Callithrix jacchus: one gene and its partners. The protein of the gene in region 5 interacts with the protein of the main gene of each other region in a pairwise test. Links are inferred from orthologs where the notes say so. Each region holds a gene or a part of one and is shown on either strand. Other genes may lie near its edges.

What was found.
Region 1: the proteins of PACSIN1 (region 5) and ANKRD24 interact in a two-hybrid assay, tested with the Homo sapiens proteins (2 studies listed by BioGRID and IntAct). The link is inferred for Callithrix jacchus from reciprocal best matches to the Homo sapiens genes PACSIN1 and ANKRD24.
Region 2: the proteins of PACSIN1 (region 5) and COBL interact in binary tests that used the Homo sapiens proteins (3 or more experiments, as listed by UniProt). The link is inferred for Callithrix jacchus from reciprocal best matches to the Homo sapiens genes PACSIN1 and COBL.
Region 3: the proteins of PACSIN1 (region 5) and EHBP1 interact in a two-hybrid assay, tested with the Homo sapiens proteins (2 studies listed by BioGRID and IntAct). The link is inferred for Callithrix jacchus from reciprocal best matches to the Homo sapiens genes PACSIN1 and EHBP1.
Region 4: the proteins of PACSIN1 (region 5) and COBLL1 interact in binary tests that used the Homo sapiens proteins (3 or more experiments, as listed by UniProt). The link is inferred for Callithrix jacchus from reciprocal best matches to the Homo sapiens genes PACSIN1 and COBLL1.

What each region holds. Positions count from the first base shown.
Region 1 is NC_133523.1:3,967,485-3,970,059, reverse strand, and holds the end of ANKRD24 (ankyrin repeat domain-containing protein 24), read right to left. Parts: intron 1,944-2,575; coding exon 1,818-1,943; intron 1,229-1,817; coding exon 1,163-1,228; intron 928-1,162; coding exon 850-927; 3' UTR 543-849; downstream 1-542. UniProt on the Homo sapiens protein: Component of the stereocilia rootlet in hair cells of inner ear.
Region 2 is NC_133512.1:18,653,787-18,658,131, forward strand, and holds the start of COBL (protein cordon-bleu), read right to left. Parts: upstream 2,839-4,345; 5' UTR 2,664-2,838; coding exon of another isoform or gene 2,623-2,663; intron 1-2,622.
Region 3 is NC_133515.1:51,122,997-51,126,545, forward strand, and holds part of EHBP1 (EH domain-binding protein 1), read right to left. Parts: intron 1,698-3,549; coding exon 1,559-1,697; intron 1,339-1,558; coding exon 1,232-1,338; intron 1-1,231. UniProt on the Homo sapiens protein: May play a role in actin reorganization. Links clathrin-mediated endocytosis to the actin cytoskeleton. May act as Rab effector protein and play a role in vesicle trafficking.
Region 4 is NC_133507.1:64,780,096-64,784,256, reverse strand, and holds the start of COBLL1 (cordon-bleu protein-like 1), read right to left. Parts: upstream 2,846-4,161; 5' UTR 2,746-2,845; coding exon 2,658-2,745; intron 2,129-2,657; exon of another isoform or gene 1,939-2,128; coding exon 1,821-1,938; exon of another isoform or gene 1,442-1,820; intron 1-1,441.
Region 5 is NC_133505.1:42,732,208-42,736,515, forward strand, and holds the start of PACSIN1 (protein kinase C and casein kinase substrate in neurons protein 1), read left to right. Parts: upstream 1-1,485; 5' UTR 1,486-1,651; intron 1,652-4,308. UniProt on the Homo sapiens protein: Plays a role in the reorganization of the microtubule cytoskeleton via its interaction with MAPT; this decreases microtubule stability and inhibits MAPT-induced microtubule polymerization.

The DNA of each region.
Region 1 (2,575 bases), on a different chromosome or scaffold from region 5:
ACGCGGATCACCTGAGGCCAGGAGTTCGAGACCAGCCTGGCCAACATGGTGAAACCCCATCTCTACTAAAAATGCAAAAAAAAACTAGCCAGGTGTGGTGGCAGGTGCCTATAATGCCCGCTACTTGGGAGGCTGAGGCAGGAGAATTGCTTGAGCCGGGGAGGTGGAGGCTGCAGTGAGCCAATATCTAGTCACTGAACTCTAACCTGGGCAACAAGAGCAAAACTCCATTTCAAAAAAAAAAAAATTAGCCAGGCATGGTGCTGGGCACCTGTAGTCCCAGCTACTCGGGAGGCTGAGGCAGGAGAATCACGGGAACCCGGGCGGCAGAGGTTGTAGTCAGCCAAGATTGTGTACCGCCGCACTCCAGCCTGGGTGACAGAGCGAGACTCCACATTTAAAAAAAAAAAAAAAGGGTTGAGTTTGTCCTGATGGCTGATTTGCTGGGTGGGGCAGAGGGAGGGGGCATGAATGCTTCCTTTTCTGGGCCACCCCTTCCCCTCCCAGCAGCAGAAGCCCAGCAACCACACCACACGCCTTGGTCCTGTGCACACAATGCCTTTATTCCTGGGCTGGCGTCTGGATGTGGAGGACACAGGGACTCACAGATTCTCTGGTGGAAGAGGAGGGCAGTCACGCCCTGGGTCCAGACTGACCAGTGTGTGCGTGCAGAGACCAGGTGGGGCGATGGAGCCAGCTGGGGACGCTGGGGCAGGGACCCAGGCTGGCCTCCAAGTGCATAGGCCTGGATGGGGCTGGGTGAAGCCAAGTGAAGTGGGTCTGCAAGGGGACTGCAGTGGGGCGAGGCCCTGCGTGGGTGTGCTGTGTGGCCACTGGGCGCGGCCTTTCTCAGCGGCCCTGAGCCTGGAGTCTCTGCATCTGCAGAATCTGGCTGAGAATCTGCTGCACCTCTTCATCCATCTGGCCCTAGGATGGGGAATAGAGGGAGACCCTGAGTGCACCCCCAGTGGCTTCCCCAGGCCCCTCTGCCACTCCCACAGACCAAGCCAGCCAGGAGGGAAATGCTCAGATGCAGGCTCCAACATGCCATGAACCGCTCCCTGGGACCAGCCTCCCACTGTACAGAAGGGGAAACTGAGGCCAAGAGAGCAACAATGGCACACCCAAAGCCACACAGGCACCTGGGAGCTAGGCGACTCACCTGAATGGCGTACAGGAGGTGGCTTCTGTACAAAGCCACCACACTGGAGTGGTCCCTGGCAGCTTCCTGTGGGTATGAGGGAGGGACACTCAGAAAAGCAGGACCACCTCCCCGCTGAGGAAGACACACCAAAAAGCGCCCTTTGTACCCCAAGCCTGTATTTTGATGGCATACACCAGGCGATGGCAGGCTGCTAAAATATGGAAATATGGCTGGGCACAGTGGCACATATTTGTAATCCCAACACTTTGAGAGGCTGGGGGGAGCCCAGGAGTTCGAGACCTGGCCAACATGGCGAAAACCCATCTCTACTAAAAATACAAAAATTAGCCCAGTTTGGTAGTGTGTGCCTGTAATTCCAGCTACACAGGACACTAAGGCAGGAGAATTGCTTGAACCTGGAAGGCGGAGGCTGCAGAGGCTGCAGTGAGCCAAGATCTTCCCACTGCACTCCAGCCTGGGTGAGGGAGTGAGACCCTGTCTCAAAAAAAAATAAAGAAAATATTTCCTGGCCACGCTGGGCACGTGACGTGTGCCCCACCTGCTTACCCCAGCCCTCTCCTGGGATTCCCGCCTGTGCCAAGCTGGTTGGTAAATATTTATCTGGACTCCTCTGCCCTGACGGTCCTCTGCCCCTGCCCGGCCCAGCTCTTACCTGCAGCTGCCGCTGTAAACCCTTCACCTGGTCACGGAGAGCCTCCACCTCAGGGGGGGCCAGGGCAGCCGGCTGCTCCTTCAAGGCCTCCTTAAGACTGAAGACTTCTTTGGAGAGTTCTGTGATCTGAGGGTGGGGGGGTTGTCAGTGGTCACCCTCAGCCCAGGGCTGGGGGTAGGGACCTCTCTGAAGCCGCAGGAAGAGGCCAGGGAGGAAGGCTTTCAAGGGAAGGTCCCATCTCTTGGGTTAGCAAACTCTGGCCTGAGGGTCATGCCTGGCCCACAGCCTGTTTTCTGTTTTTATTTTTATTTTTTTGAGACGGAGTTTCGCTCTTGTTACCCAGGCTGGAGTGCAATGGCGCGATCTCGGCTCACCGCAACCTCCGCCTCCTGGGTTCAGGCAATTCTCCTGCCTCAGCCTCCCGAGTAGCTGGGATTACAGGCACGCACCACCATGCCCAGATAATTTTTTGTATTTTTAGTAGAGATGGGGTTTCACCATGTTGACCAGGATGGTCTCCATCTCTTGACCTCGTGATCCACCCGCCTCAGCCTCCCATATTTTTATTTTTTTAAATAGAGACGGGGTTTCTCCATGTTGGTCAGACTGGTCTTGAACTCCCGACCTCAGGTGACGCACCCACGTCGGCCTCCCAAAGTGCTGGGATGACAGGTGTGAGTCACCACATCTCTTAAAGCTTCAGTGAGCTCATCTGGAAGATGGGGACTTTCTGAAACCAGGTGTGGTGGCTCACACCT
Region 2 (4,345 bases), on a different chromosome or scaffold from region 5:
CAGCGTCTTTCCTAAAAGCACAGTTTCCCCGGGAGTCAAGTAGTCATACGTCACTGTTTTAACAAAATTCCTAGTAAAAAGCATGCAATTTCAATCCAAGTAAAAATGTGTACTTGTGTTTTTCACAAAGATAACTAATAACTACCTGTTAATAATTTAGCCAGACATAGAGTCAGTGAGTTTACATTCACCAACCTATCTCCCCTCCAGTAAACCTCTAGAAGAGCGTTTGTAGGCCATACTTTACAGGGTGAAATCTTAATTCACTGCACCCAGTCTAGCTTCTTTGTACACAACACAAGGAGGAGTGGTCGTTTCAGCAACAGCCGCAGCTCCGCCGTATCAGTTTGTTATCACGTGGGAAGAGGGTGGCTTACCGAAAGTTTGATTTTTTAATCAACAGTTGCAGAATCAGATAGAAAACAAATTTCCCTCAAGCACATTGCAAAGGAGTAAACTCAGTGAAGAGCCAGTAGATTCTGACTGCCACCAGTAATGTGCTAAAGTCAGATACTTGACGGCAATATCTAACCTTTATAATTAGCAAGCATACACCATAATTATATAAAATGCTCAAAGACCTAATACTATTTATTTCTTCAGATTTGAACACAAAATTGCTTCTTATTAAATATGTAATTTTTGTCTGAAGAAATATAAGGATATTAGTATTTTCTTGATGTTTCTTCACTGAAAGTATTAAAAAATGACAAAGTAATTGAGAACAACAGAAGTTAAAAATAGTATGTCTAGATTTCTTGGACAAAGATGTCTGGACAAGAAAACTGGACTATGGATGAGTAAGGGAAAAGAACTGAATGCATCAGGAGTAATAATTTCAGGTTCTCCATAGCAAAAATCCTTCGCTTTCCTTTGCCATTCAAATGCGAAGGCCAATCGGAGCTCCGGGAGGCAGTGAGAAGGCCAGCCCTGGACTACCTCTCGCTACACAGTACCAGGCTGAAAAGAGTGCCACGACTTAGGGTCCGTCCTTTCACTTCTATCATCAGACTCCGTTCAAGGATTTTACAGATACTCTTTGAATACAGTTTTGCCGGCCTTTTAAATGTTCTCTCTGTCTTCATATTTATTTATAAGGTAATAGTGACAAAATAATTCAGTCTCCTTAAATAGGTTCATTTAATAGGCTATGAAAGCCACAGATTTAAAGATACCTCTGTTTCACATTTCCCTATGTTATTTTGGGATGTCTATTACCATGAAAAAGGATTTCCCACATTTATTTTCTTTCTGGGGAATTTGTTTATTCAAAGAGAATTACATAACCACCGCTAAGTGCACTGCAAAAAAAAAAAAAAAAGAAAGAAAGAAAAAGAAAAGAAAACTTCTTTTTAACTTTCCTCAGCTTCAGGATTATTCGATTTGCTAACCGGGCTCACTTTTTCCTGGCATTAAAGAAAAACTCTAAAATTTAAAAAAGAGCCCGACTGAAAGTCTTTTATACACTTGGGCAACACGTCTGCCTATGGGCACATGGGCAGGGTGAGTCAGTAGGACACAACTGTAAAAGAAAAAAAGATTTGTTGTCCCCAAAGCTGCCTCCCTCAAGTCCAGTTGCCATAGCAGAAAGTGGGCCCACTCGGTAAGCAGGTGCAGGGCTCCCCCAACCCTCATTCCATTTGCAAGACTCATACACATGTGCTCCAGGCGAGCGAGCGAGGTCGAAGGTCCCCGGCGCGCGGCGCTGAAATCTACTAAGTCCTCCCGGACTGTGAGCGACCCCGGGGCCCAGCCTGCGCGGCCCGCCGGGATGCCGGGCACCTGGCGCGGGATCCGGATAAAGAGCGGGGCTGCTCGCGCTGTATGAGGGAAATTACTCTTTCTGCGAGTCAAATCCTGAAGGTGACGTGTAATCCCTGCACGCAAGGTGTGGGGACGGTAAACAGAAACTGGGAGAGGTCTGGGCAGAAGCCGAATCGCGAAGACAGGGATGGGCGCCCTGACTCGCGGGTCCGCTTCGGGGATCTGCGCCTCAGGCCTGGCCCCACCAGCGCGCCCCTTCCACTGGAATAAAGACAGGGAGGGAGAGCCGTTACCATGAAACCCTCCGGGCAATCCGAGTAGCTCCCGAGAGCGTGGGGCCCGGGTGGCCGCGAAGCCCTACCCTCCACTCCGCCAGAGAGCCGACCCAGGGGGTGCCGCCACCGGAGGAGGGAAGACTTGGTCAGAACTCCGGCCGGGGACAAGCCCGCACGGAAGCTGCCGAAGTCAAAGGCCGGGAGTCCCCTCGCTCCCCCACCGCCCCTAGGGCAAACATTCGGGGGGCCTGAGGGGAGCTCCGAGCTGAATGGGGGTGGTGCTGGCGGGGACCCCTATAAGGACTTTGGCACACAAGCCACCCAGCGCGAAAAGTGCGCTCCGGCCCTAGCCGGACACGGTTACCTGGGCAACGACCCGGGCGCCCAAAGTACACAGCACGCACCACCACCCAACACCAGCACCCAAAACCAGCACCGCAGCACCTGCTCCACCACTATCACCAGCACCCGCTGGGGCAGCAGAGAGGGCGCCCAGCCCAGGAGCGCGAGGTGCGGGCGCGGGCGTCCGAGCCCCGCGAAGCCCCCGCCCCACCCCACCCCTCCTGGCCTCGGGGCGGCTTACCCGGTCGGGGGCTTGGCGGCCAAGGCGCGCGACGCGTCCATGGTGCCGGGGGCTGGGGCACTGGCGGTGATCGGGCCCCGCGAGTTAGGCGCTGGCTGCGGCCGCCACCGCTGCCGCCCTCATTCACTTTTTCCGCGCTGACCCATCGTCCTCCCACGCGGGCCGGCGGAGGACAGCGGCGGAGCCGGGCGGACGGAAGGGGCAGGAACCGTCTCTGGCGGGCGGGGGCGCCGGGCGCGCTGGGAGGGGCTGGCGGCGGCGCGGGGCGGGGGCGCCGGGAGCAAGGTGCGCCGCGCCCCCGCCCCGGCTGGCTCCGCCGCGCCCACCGGAGCGCCGCCCACGCCCCGCCCCGCCCCGCCTGCCCCGACCCGAGCCCGGGCCAGTCCCGGGGCACGCGTCCGAGGAAATAGTCTCCTGACACCTGGCCCCTGCACGGACACCGCGGCTCTGCAGAGGGCTTATCCCCGGGCTCCTCCACTTTGCGGGGAGCGCGCCCCTGTCTGGGCGGAGCGGGGGAACCCGGGGCCGTCCCCTCCCGGGCGGAGCTGGGGGAGGGGAACCACCTGGAGCCTAGAGGCCGTGCTAGGGCGAGGTGGGCGGACCAGCGCCGGAGCGCAGAGGTTGGAGGGTGAGAAGCGTGTGTCCGGCGCTGCTCTCTGACCTTTATCCGAGCAACAGATGTCTAGTGCGTGGGGTCGCAAAGTGGGAGTCCCTACCGCGAGCGTCAGCAACACCTGGGAACTTGTTAGAAATGCAGATTTAGGGGCCCCACCGGGTCCCATGGAATCAGAAACAATGTGGGCTGGAGCGCGGCCTCGCTTTGCTAACAACTCAGTCGCTCTGGGTTAATGCACCTGATCAGCTGGGCGCTTCTGTGGCACAACTCTACCACTCCAATGCAGGCTGGCGGGCATATATGCAGGTCCTGCCGGCCACCCCGGGGCCCAGAGCAAGCCAGCCAGAGGTCCCTGATGTGCGGAACTTCACCTCCACTCTCCCAGATCCTGGTTGGTATGATGGACTGACCTATAAAAGTGGCAGTTTCATATGGTTTCAATAACTCGAGTAAAAGACCAGCAAGAGGCCAGGCCTGCACGGTGATCAGCGTTGGAGGTGTTGCTTCCCTTGAGATCTTGTCACTGGATGAGGTATCCGGAGGCCTGCGGAGCCTTCCTCCCTCTGATCCCCTGCTTTCTCATTAACTGAAGGAGGAGGGAGACCAGTCTAGATGCAAAATGTGAGTCCTTGCCGTGGCTGGCAGATCTTGGGGGTTCCCTAGCTCCCACCTAGAACGGTTTCCGAAGTCTTGCGATGGCCTTGGGGCTCACTGCCCCGCAGCCCAACCTCCCATTTTCTCCACCTGAGTGGAGCCCTGTTCCGGCTCAGGGCCTCTGGCTGGGATGCTCCTCCATAGTGCTCTCCTCCTGCTCCTTCTTATCCCGTGGTCTCCCCAGGAAGACTTTCCTGGCCTCTGTGTCTAAAACTCCGAGTGGGACACAGTGGCTTACACCTGTAAACCCAGCACTCAGGGAGGCCACCGCCGGAGGAGTCTTGAGCCCAGGAGTTGGAGACCAGCCTGTACAACTCAGGAGAACACTCTACCAAACAGAAAATTAGCAGGGCATGGTAGCACACACTTGTAGTTCCAGATGGGGGCAGGCAGGGAGGATAGCCTGAGTCTACGGTGAAGTTGAGGTGGTTGAGGTTACAGGGAGCCGTGATC
Region 3 (3,549 bases), on a different chromosome or scaffold from region 5:
ACAAAATGTAACAGAAAAAAATTACAATAACAGAATAAATGCCAACAGTAACTTTAAAATCTGGGATAATCTGGTGAATCCTTCTTGAATCTGACAGACAGCAGAGCATTTTCAAAAGGGATGTTTTCTTTTCTCATTCCCATATAGACTGACAAAACAAATATAGTAGTTTACAAAGACAATACAAAAAATATATATATAAGGAAGCAGAAGTGATAAGCAACACATAAACTTCATTGCTCTTACTGATTGGTTCAGTTAAAAATAGAAAGAAATTTCATAATCAGGTTTCTTTAGTGTGAGTACTCAGTAGAGTTAAGTATTCTGTAACTTAAAAGTTATACCAAATACTTCATCAGGATTTTCAGTGAGCTCTTTTTTTCTAGCTCATACCTTTTCAGGTCTTCTAAAGTAAGCAACTTAAAATGAGATTTTAGAGTTCTAAAATGTAGTTGGTGACACGGAGTGTAGTTGTAAGGATTTTAAAATCCAACAAAGACTATCTTAACACTGAAAACAATGAAAATATTTAGAAAAACTGTAGATAATTTAAAAAGTAGTACTATTAAAGAGAGCTATGCTTCCAGACAAAAATTCAAGTTAAAACTTGTTCTTCCTGCTTCTGTCCCGCAGCTGTCCATCAAAAGCAGCTTTCTCCCTGCGGTCTATCAAATATTTCCCTCACAAATCAATTTTACACATGATCAGCCCATACCCCTACTGAGCTGAACCTCCCCGTTAATTAAGTGAAGAAATTACCATATATATTATATTAATGCAAACATCATTCAGCTAGTAATTCACGGCTGATCTGGATAATGGAAAGGTTGAACACCCATTAACCCAAGCCAACAAAATGGGTTGGCTGAGAAATTCTAGCAGGTCTCATGTGACTTTTCCCTCTAACTGCAGCTCTGCGGTATCTGCTATTGTAATAATTAAAATCCTCCCGGTAGATCAATACTGGAATCTCTTTATGGGAAGTGCCCTGATGGAAATGTCTCAAGGAAACTGGGGCTGTGGAACTCTGAAAAATTCATTTTTTTTTATCTGACAATTATCACCACACTGCAGACTAATTCAACAGTGCACCCCTCTCACTCTGCTTTGAATGCACTGGAGATTGACATCTTAAAAAACCTAACATCTCATTTTAACAAATAAAGGCACTATTTCCACATACAGTTTGGAATTATCAGCAATCATGAAACCACACAAAAAATTAATATACATTAAGCACTTCATCTTCTGATGGCTTCCTCTGAGTTTCAGTTATCGCTGCCTTCTCCTCATTTCCTTTCTTTGTATCTTCCTGTATTGATCTCTGCCTTTTCATCTCTTAAAAAAAAAAGAGGAAAGACATGTAAAATTATTATAAAGCTTGATATTTGTGTATTGAAATGTAGATTTACATTACCAGCTTTCATATATATATACACACATATATATAAAACACTATATATACATTTATTTTATATATACATATATATATGTGTATATATATATATATAGTTAAATAATAAGAAAGATGGGAAAATATTTTAAAAAGTATTTCTACCTGGTCTATTCTCAATATATTGGCTGAAAGACTGAAGTTGAGTTTTTCTGACTGTAGAATCTTTGCTGAACACAACAGGATTTCTAAAACGTTCTGTTGTTTTTTGTAATCGTTCAGTCTGGAGATCTTCTGTGCCATTCTAAAAGTAAAACAACACATAATAAGAGAGTTCTGATCTCATAAACATAAAAATACGCATTAGTAAGGCAACTTTTACTGATTTAGGATAACAATGATTTAGAAACTTTTTGCAAGAAAAAGATTTTAAAGCACTTTCAACAGCTCAACTGCAAGTTCTGTTGCCTGTAATCACAAACTTTGGGACACATGGTTTTACTCTTGATAACTTTGATGCAAATGTGCCTTCCCCCAGTGATACATATCATTTAAAAGCCATGTTGCCTCCTATTTCCCCCACTATTCTGTGTCATCGGTTTGTACAGCCCCACAGACTTGTATGACAACGAGAACTAGTTTCTAATTTTATGTCCATTGAGATAAACCACTAATGCTGGATGAAGGCTAAAAGGTAGGATTATAATACTACCCCACTGAACTGCATTTCATCAGCTATAACTTTCCAAAGCCAGATTTGTAAGTAAGCCCTTTACAGCTAAGGAAACTACAATTATCTTTTCCGGAGCTTCCTATGTTAATACTGGTAACAAATTCAAATGGTTCTATCAACAAGAAATATCCCAGAAGACTGAACCACTGCAGTGTGTGGAAGCTGCAGATACCGAAGTGCTGTGTACCAAACAAATATTTCATTTTATACCTAATCTTTTATTATTTTTATTAAGTGTTTTGAAAGTAAATAGGGAAAGGCTAAGATGCATGACTAATAGCTAAGCCTGCTGAATGCTGAAACTGGTTATCAAAAGCTACCAAGACTTTGCCCTTCCCTTGCATTGAGACAATCGGTAATGAGGGAGCCCTCCAATGGCCTATTCTCTAGCCTCAAGGAGGCCTGGGATACAGAATCCTCAGGGGAAGGTAACAGTTTATCCTTTTCCACAAACACAGAATGCCTCATTTATAAATGTGTAAACTGCATTTTATTAAAAAAATAAAAACCCAAATCAATGTTGAAAGCTTCAAGAGAACAGATGGACTCTATATGTTTTTATAAACACCATTTTCAAAATCTTAACTAAAAGGATTCATACAAAGAAAAGCTGTTTAAAGCACACCTTTTGTTGGAATAACTTTAAAGACTACTATTTAAGAGTGTTTTGGAAAGCAAAACCAATTTTATCTGTACAGATAAAGCATAATAATGAAAATAACACTATTTCATTTTTTTAAAGTTATCTAATACATTTATCATTAACATCATGCTTATAATATCCTAGCTATATAGTTATGATAGAAACAATTTTGGCTTTGATTCTATTTTTTTTTAAAGAAAAATAGAGTTCTACTGTTATAACTATCCAATGGTCTAAAACTCGAGTCTTTACCAAAATAAACAAACACAGCTAAATTTTTTTAGGCCTGGCAACATGCTAAAATATCAGTGCGATTAGCCAGCAAATCCCATCTTAACAAACCTTTTTATGACTAGGGACTTCTGCCACTTTACAAATGTATTCCCCTAAACCCACTAATTCAGTTAGCCTTTTCAATCTATTGTATTATTCTTAGGCCAGCTTCATTCTGCATTAAATCCACTGCAGAAAGCTAAATTGAACGCAAAAAAATCAGACCTGATCCAGGCTTCCTTTTGTTCAAAGATAGAGACCAAAAGTCCTCTGGTGCTGCCATACACTTTCATCACCAATTTATAGAAACTGACAATATAGGGGAAAAGCAATGAAAGTCATTGTTTTGGGACTTCAAAGCATCTCTGTGTCAGGGGAAGGAAATCCTTTCAGTCAGCGGGGCAGTCCCCATAGTCCGCAGGTGGGTGAAAAGTTATACAGGACTGGAAGTGCCCTAAAGCTAGAGAAATAGTAATCACTGTGAGGGAAGTGGGGGAACATGTGGGT
Region 4 (4,161 bases), on a different chromosome or scaffold from region 5:
CAGTTTAACCTTCAAATTCTCAAAGGGGCTGGGTGCACTGACTCATGCTGGTAATCCCAACACTTTAGGAGGCCAAGGTGAGATTGCTTGAAGCCAGCGATTTAAAATCAGCCTAGGGAACATAGCAAGCAAGACCTTATGTCTACATTAAAACAGAAAATCAAGAGTAACATCTGAAGGCTCTTACTATAGTCATCCTTGCCACTAAAAGTGTTTTTCCATTTCTTTAACACAGAGCCATCTGACCTCATCAATTTATTTAAAAGTCCCCAGTGACTTCTGAACACCCATGGGTGTATTTTGTGAAAGCAGGTATGTTTTTCTATCTTTGTTTTTTAAAGTTCCTTAACCTAATCCATTTCAAAATCTAATTTAATTCTATCTTATTTTACAATCGGAAATCTGTCTCATCATCAATTCACATAATTCTGCAGCTCCACTTAGGAACCTTGCTTTTATGCTCAGTATCTTTCTACCAATATATTTCTTTACTCATCTTAACGTGAGAACGTATGGAAGAATATATGATAATTTAAACAATGAAAAACTTGGGGAAAGATAAATGAAAGTCAAAAGCAAGAGGACTATTTGGAGAGGAGAAAGCTAACTGGAGCAAAATGAAAGAATTAATTCATATACATGTTTCCTCTATGTAAAAATTATACTAAATATCTTTTAGATTAGTCATGTTGCTTTGAGACTTTTCCATGTTTCCTCTAGACAACTGCCAATGTTCGAATAGTCTCTGATGAATACACATGCTGTGACTTGCTTCTAAGGAAACGCCTGTCGTGTTCCAGGGAAAAATGACTTCCACACTCTTAAATCAGGAAAACCGTACAAGTCTCATTCATTAGTGACAACGTCGATTTTTCCTTAACGTTTCTATTTCTAGAATGCTCATATTCTCATTAGGACATTTCTGCGTTCAGGTAAAGAAAATAAACCACGTTGGGAGAACACTTGGGGAAAAAAAAGGTGTACTACATCAAAGGGGTTTCCCACTTCAGGAGCTAAACTAGCATCCAAGTTACTCCTGAACTATTTACTAAGACCAAGGTTATTTTAGGGTTTTTTTCATCTTTTGCAGAACTACCTGTTCCCACTACTGTTTACTCAAATACTTAGCAAGGTGACTATTCGCATATCTGGCAGGAAGACATGCTTCATTTAACATTAACTCATCATGTGACAGCCCCTTCCCCTCCAATCTCTTCTCAAACATGTGAGGATAAAAAGAAAAGTAGAGTTGTTTGCAATCTGATTTGCGCTTGGTTTTGGCACCAGCAATTGGCCACAGGCACACACACACCCCCAATCAGAGGCGCGCACCCCGCTCGCTCCCGGAACTGTCAAGCGGGCTGACAGCTGGCACACCTTCCGTCGCCCTCCACCCTCTTGCAGAAAGCCCACTCCTTACAGTCACGTTGACACTGCTCACCTGCCTGGGCCTCGCCCATGGCCAAGGAAACTTTTGCCCTCTTCCCAGGAGCTCACTTACAGGTATCGTCCACCGCTCCTCCAGAGCCCAAACAAGGGGCCCTTTGTTAGAGTTTTTGCTCCCGGACTCCTCACCCAATTCCTGGCATTCAGCTGGCCTTCAGCAATCCGGGCAGCCCCGGTAGGAAGGCAACCAAAAACCAGCCTTCCGCCCGGGTGGCCTCCGAGAAGGCCGGGAAGAAGCAGCCTCCCCGGCTGCGTGGAGGGCGGCCAGTGAGTCAGGCCGCCGGCAGGGCAGACAGTTGCCAGCCAGGTGAAACCGCCGCGGCCTCGGGTCCTCGCCCTACCCGGGGAGCGGCGGCGCGGCGCTCTATGCTTACCCGGCTGGGGCGGCGAGCGGCGTGGGCGCCGCCTGGGCGTCCTGCGAGTGCGGGGTTCGGCCGTCCATAGCCCTGCGGGGCGTTGCGCGGGCTCCAGCTCCGAGACGGCGCGTCACTGCTGGGGTGGGAGAGGCCAGCGGGTCAGGGCGGGACGCGCGCTTTCACGAGGCCGGAGCGGGGCTGGCTGAGCGTCAAGAGCCCGCCCGAGCCGCCCCAGCCCCGGCCGGCCCGCCTCCCGGGTGCGCTTTCCACCTGCGGGCCGAGGCTCCAAACCCTCGGGCGCCACCGCCGCCGTCGCCGCAAGGTCTAGCAAGCTCTAGGAGTACGGCGGAGGAGGAGGTGGCGCTGCAGCCCCCGCCCCGTGGGGTTTAGTGAGTAGCCATTTGGCGCCTCTTTGGGAGGGAGAGGAGCTGCCCCGGCTGGAAGCGGAGGAGGAGCGGGCCGGGTGCACGGGCAACGCCGCCACGCCGGCAGCGCACTCCCGGGCTCCTCCGGCCGAGTTTGCACAAACAAAACGCCCTGGGAAAAGTTTTCCCGAAGAGAAGTTGGGAGGGCTGATCTCTCTTTTTCCCACCCAAGGCTCCTTCCTACGTTCTTTTCCGAAGGAGACAGTAGCTCTCCTGTTCTCCCTCGCGACTTCCTCTCCTACTCTTCCCTCCCCCGGCCCTCAGGCGGCAGCTCGGCTCTCAAGCCAGAACTTGAATGGAGAAGCCGCAGCCCCTGCGAGGCTTAGCCCAGAGCGGGCCGGGCCGACTCAGCGCCTCCCCTGCCCCGCGGGCGGGGTGTGGGCGCTCGCTGGGCGCTGGGGGCCTCGCTGGAGCCCGCTCGCTCACTCACCCTGCCCCATTTCCCTGCCGGGAGTCCGGGAGCTCGCCGCCGCCTCTGCCGCACGGTTGCCCAGAAGTGGGGACGAGCTCGGCGGCATCTGAGCGAGGGAAGCAGCGAGCCGGAGAGAGGAACGGGGCGGGGGTGGGCCGGGAGCGAGTTGGAATTTCCTTCCCCCAGGGCTTCGGGGTTTGGGGTCCAGCTGGGGGGAAGCTGAACCGAAAGGAAGCTCCCAGGCAAGGTGTTCCCATTCCCACCGCTAGGGCTGCGCTTCGGGAAGCCTGCTGCGCCAGAGCAGGACAGGTGGGGAGGAAGGGAAGTTACCTGCCTGGCCAGGACCCGAGGGGAGGATTGGGGCCTCCGCGGAATGCGGACAGAAACTCTCAGAGTGGGGCCTGCAGTCTGACCTTCGACGTCCAGGATTGTGTGTGTGTGTTTTTCTTAGCTTGTATTTTTAACTTGACCTCTAAGGTTGCCATTCTTTTAAAAGTGCACCTGTAACACAGATCTTACTAATTGGTGGCAGGTTTAAGCTTGCCTGTCTTCAGAGGCATTTTTTGTAAAAGCCTATAACAGTTGTGACATGAAAACTGGTCAACAGTATGTCTGATGACAGTCTGTAAGAATTAAGTGATAGATTTTATTCACTTATTGGAAGTGTTACAAGCATAAAGGAATCATACACAGCTGTGTGCTTGTACGTTTTAGTATCCACGTGCATGCCCTTTAGATGATTCTTTACACCTGACAGGTACTAGGTAAAAGTTACTGCGGCTTTTTGCCATTTTAAAAGTAATGACAAAACCGCAATCACATTAGTACCACCGTAATATATTTGCATATTTTATATTTTTTATAAGTGCCAATTGTTTTAAGGTGCAAGCCATTCTGATGGAACCAAAAATGTGTTTTCAGAAAAAAATGTGACATTAAGAAATCAACTCAAAATTACATTTAAAAACAGATATTTGCATTAAACTGACGGAGAGATCTTACATGAAGGAACACCCTGAAGAAGACCTCTGCTGTAGTACTGACATCAAGTAATAAACCTGTGTTAGCCACTGATAGAGTAACAGTTGGAAGATATTAAAATTAAATATTAATTATCCTTTAGTTGTTTATCCATTGCAGCAACAAAAAAAGATTGCTGAACTGAATGTCTAGCAATGTACTATTTGCCTATCATAGGCAGGCATTAGTATTTATTTCTTCCAGTGCATTATGTAGTCCTTTCAGTGCATCTTTGCACATAAAAAGAAAAAACCACATGACTCATTTGGATTACAATACTGGAACCATATTAGAAAAAGTTGCTTTTAGAGAGCTTAACTAATAGTAATGCAATTTATTTAAATACCCCTGGATTTTAGTCTTTAAATAATAACTCTGGTTAAACAATTTCATGAATCATTTATGCTTCTGAATGTGAAGCTATGCAAGCTTTTACAGTTGCTTGCAACAAATATTGAGTAACAGTGAAACTTCTTTAAAGTCATATCTTTCAATCACAAGA
Region 5 (4,308 bases):
GAACTCTTTTTTTTTTTTGAGATGGAGTTTCACTCTTGTTACCCAGGCTGGAGTGGAATGGCGCGATCTCGGCTCACTGCAACCTCCGCCTCCTGGGTTCAGGCAATTCTCCTGCCTCAGCCTCCTGAGTACCTGGGATTACAGGCACGCGCCATCATGCCCAGCTAATTTTTCGTATTTTTAATAGAGATGGGGTTTCACCACGTTGACCAGGATGGTCTCGATCTCTTGACCTCGTGATCCACCCGCCTCGGCCTCCCAAAGTGCTGGGATTACAGGCGTGAGCCACCATGCCCGGCCCCAGAGAATTCTTAATGCATGAGTAAATACAGCATTCAGGCATTCCACGGGGTCACAGGGGCATGAATTTCAGTGCCTCTGATGAAGTGTGTGGAGAGAGAAGTCAGGAACTATAAACGTGGTTATTCCAGGCTCGAGCAATAGGGAGTAGTGAGGTCTGCAGCAAACTGGAGTCTGCATGGCTATCTGAGGGGCTCACAGTCAAATAAATCACCGCCCCCACCCTCCAGTCCCGACACACATAAAGGGCAGGGACCCATTCTGGTGCTGAGCAATCTCACTTCCTTTCCCTTCCTCCAGCTTTATTTTTCTTCTCTGTGCATACCACTTTAAAACACTCTTAGCTACCGACACTGAATGTCTGTCTTCCCTCGCACAGGTGAACTACGAGACGGCAGAGTTTTGCTTTGTCCCCTGCTGCAGCCCAGCCCCTCATCAGTGGCTGGCACAGAACAGGCCTTCAGTAGGCATGTGCCCCGCTACTCCCTGCAGCTTCCGGGCTCCAGGCAGCATTCAGGACTCAAGTCGGGAAGAGTGAAGGCCGTTGAGGACTTGTTAGGCCCCAACTCCCCCAGAGAACCCCAAGGGGACGGGAGCTTTGAGTTTTTTTGGCGACAGCCGGTCCTGCTGGAACTAGGACCTGAGGGTTAGTGACTCTGCCCCATGGGGTCACCGGGCAGAGGCTGCGGGCGGGAGTGGGCATCGCTGGGGCGGTGGTGCAGGCTCCCACGCACCTCTTCAACATGCCCATCACACAGGCACCCTCACGCACCAGGGGTCGCCGAGGCTCCGGAGCAGAGAAAAGGCCAAGGCGGTGGGGAGATGGGGAGACAGGCGGGGAGCAACACCCGGGGCTCCGAGCGCGCCAGCTGGGAGGGCTGGGAAGGAGGGTGCACGGGAGGGCTCCTGGCCCGCGCGGGCCCGCGGGCAGCCCCCGGAGGAGGGAATCGGGCAGGACGGCTGGGGCAGGGGGCGGCTGAAGCAGGGGGGAGCCGGACCCCACCCGCCACCCCCGGCGCCTGCCAAACTGGTGGCTGCCTCCCCGGCAGCCGCGGCGCGTCCACCTGCGCAGCCACCGCGCCGCCCTGCCCGAGCTGCCATTGGCTAGCTAAAAATGCCTCTCTAATCTGCGCGGCTCTGTGCACGCCTCCTCCTCATCCTTCCCCCCCGCTCCGCCTCGGCTCTGACCTTCCTCCTTCCCGCAGCCCAGGCGAGATCCCAGAGAGACGCGGTGGCGGTGGCAGCGCCAGCCCCTCCTCCCCCGGGAAGTCGGCCGGGCTTGAGGCCGGGCCCCAGACGTCCCGCTTCGCCCCGAGGCGCCGCCAATGGTGCCCCGCGCTCCTGCCCCCAGGTAGGGGGTCTGGCCCTTGAATAGAGGGTGGGGGGTTATGTGGGGGGCGTAGAGTTAGGGAGTGCGTGTTCGAAGTGGGCGCCGAGACTGGCATCTCCCTGGGCCAGAGCCCGGGGCGGGTTGGGCTGCTGTCTGGAGAGAAGTGCGTGCGCGCCCGGGGATGCTTTGCTGGGACCGGAGTTCGGGGGCATCACCCAGGCAGTGCTAGGATGCCCCTGCGCTGTGTCCATTGTGGGGGGACGAGCCGGCAACGGAGGCCTTTACCCCAGGAAAAGCGGCGGAAATAGGTTCCTGGGGAAGCTGGGGCCTGGGCTCGGGCGGTCCGGGTCTCTGGACTGCTACCAGAAGGGGTGGGTGGGCTGATGCCAGCTTGGTGCGTAGGCTATTTATGGATCAGAGTGGGCTGGGGAGAAACACAGCAGCTGATGCCTGTCTGGCTTATGGTTAAAGGTATTTCCTTCTGCCCCCTACCCCTTCCCCCACAGCTGGGATGGGAGGGGGAGGAGGCAAGAAGGAGGTGATGATGCTAAAAGGCCCGCAGTTACAGAAGCCACGGGCTGCTGGGCACTGCCCACCCCTGCAAGCCCCAGGCCACTTGCTGCCTGTTGAAGCTGTCTCTGCCCCTTATTTTCACCTTACAAGAGGCTATGAAAAGGTTAAAGGGTCATCAGGGTGTAGGGGACATGGTGGCAAACCCGGGAGCTTGGCCAGACCCAGCTTCAAGCCTCAGCTGCCCCTGCCCACAACAGCCCAGCTCTGCACCACATAGGTAGTGACATATATGGCCGCTTTTTTCTAGGCTCAACCATAAATAACCCACATTGCCCCAGCCCCTGGCATAGCTGGGGTGCAAACAGGACTATCCGTCAGTGATTTTGCTTCCACCCTCCACCGTGGCCTTTCCATTACATGTCCAAGTCACCCCTCTCAAGCCGCCCTTCCAGGCAGCTTCCCTGATACTTGCCCCCTCCCCTGTGCTCCTGGACTGCCTTGTGGCTGGGTTATTTGTCTTGTTTGTCTCCTTCTGGAGCAGAGTTATCTTCAGGGGAATCTGATTCATCTCTGTCATTGCCCCTGCACCAGAGCAGGGTTTGGCACCAAGTAAATAATTTGTGGAATGAATGATTGAGTGACTGAATGTGAACTCTGGGAAATAGCTGGCAATCCGAGGGAGGGGGTTGAGCCCACTCTTGGGCTTTCTCTCTATCCCCCAGGACCAAAGAGCCACCCAAACCAGACAGTTCTCTTGAGGCCCCTCCTAAGCCTGGAGTTGATGGGCAGCTATGGCTTTTGGAGATACTGTTGCAACCTGCTGGCTCCAGAGGGTCTTATGGGCCCCTGGTTTGAGTGTCCAGGCCTGGTCCTGGCTCTGGGGAAGGTCTGATGTGAAGGTCTGGCTCTCCTCAGGCTGCTGGGTTAGCACTTTCTTCCCGGGGTGCCAAGCTTAGAATAGGGTCTCTGCCTTGGTCGCAGCCCTTGGGAGGAAAATCCAGGTCAACAACAGGGAAGCTGGGAAGGCCCAAGCCAGGCCGTCCTCAGCGTCTGGGGTGTTCACAGCAAGCTCTCAGGGGTCTCATGACCCTCGTGTGTGGAGGAGCAAACCCAGTTCTGAGGAAGAGGCTGCTACCAAGGGTTCTGGCCCAGCCACGGGCCTGTGTCTGTGAAGGATGGCAACACCTCCAGGCTTAGGAGGGGCCTAGAGAGAACTGTCTGGTTTGGGTGGCTCTTTGGTTGTGGGGAATAGAGAGAAAGCCTCCCTCCCTCAGGTTGCCAGCTATTTCCCAGAGTTCACAGTCATTCAATCATTCATTCATTCCACAATGGCCCATGTTGCTATTTGACGTGGCTGTGCCACCGTCCCCATGCCCAGTCTAACTCTTCCTTCTTTGTTTTTTTGGAGATGGGGTTTCACTCTTGTTGCCCAGGCTGGAGTGCAGTGGTGCAATCTCGGCTCACTGCAACCTCCACCTCCCAGGTTCAAGTGATTCTCCTGCCTCAGTCTCCCAAATAGCTGGGATTATAGGCATGGGCCACCACACCTAGCTAATTCATATTTTTAGTAGAGATGGAGTTTCACCATCCTGGCCAGGTTGGTCTCGAACTCTTGACCTCGTGATCCACCCCCCTCGGCCTCCCAAAGTGCTGGCATTACAGGCATGAGCCACCATGCCTGGCCTCCGACTCTCCCTTCTCACTCTCACTCTGCCCCCCAGCTGCCCTGAGCTGCTTTCAGTTCCTCAAGCAAGTGGGGCTTCTGTCACCTGCAGGCTTTGCACAGGCTGTTCCTGCCTCCTCCTCTCCCTCCTCCTTCCCACCCAAATCTCTCACCCTCAGGAGTTCACTGAGACTCCTCTTCCTTCCAGAAGCTTCCCCAGCTTGGGTTGGGAGCCTCACCCATGAATCCCCTTCCTGCAGCCTGGCTGCCTCCCCTGGGAACCCTCCCTTCATACAGTGTCCTCTCGGGCTTCTGATCACCCCTCCCTGCTGGGCTGTGGGGTCTGTGGGTGCAGAGTCTGTGTGCTGTTTCCAGTGGCCCCTGGCGTGGCACAGAGAAGTCCCAGCTCTGGCTTGTGGAGTTGAGTGAGTGAGTGGCTACTGGTCTCATCATCTGCTTTCTCTCCTCACCAATATCAGGACACATTTTGCATTCTTCTTCT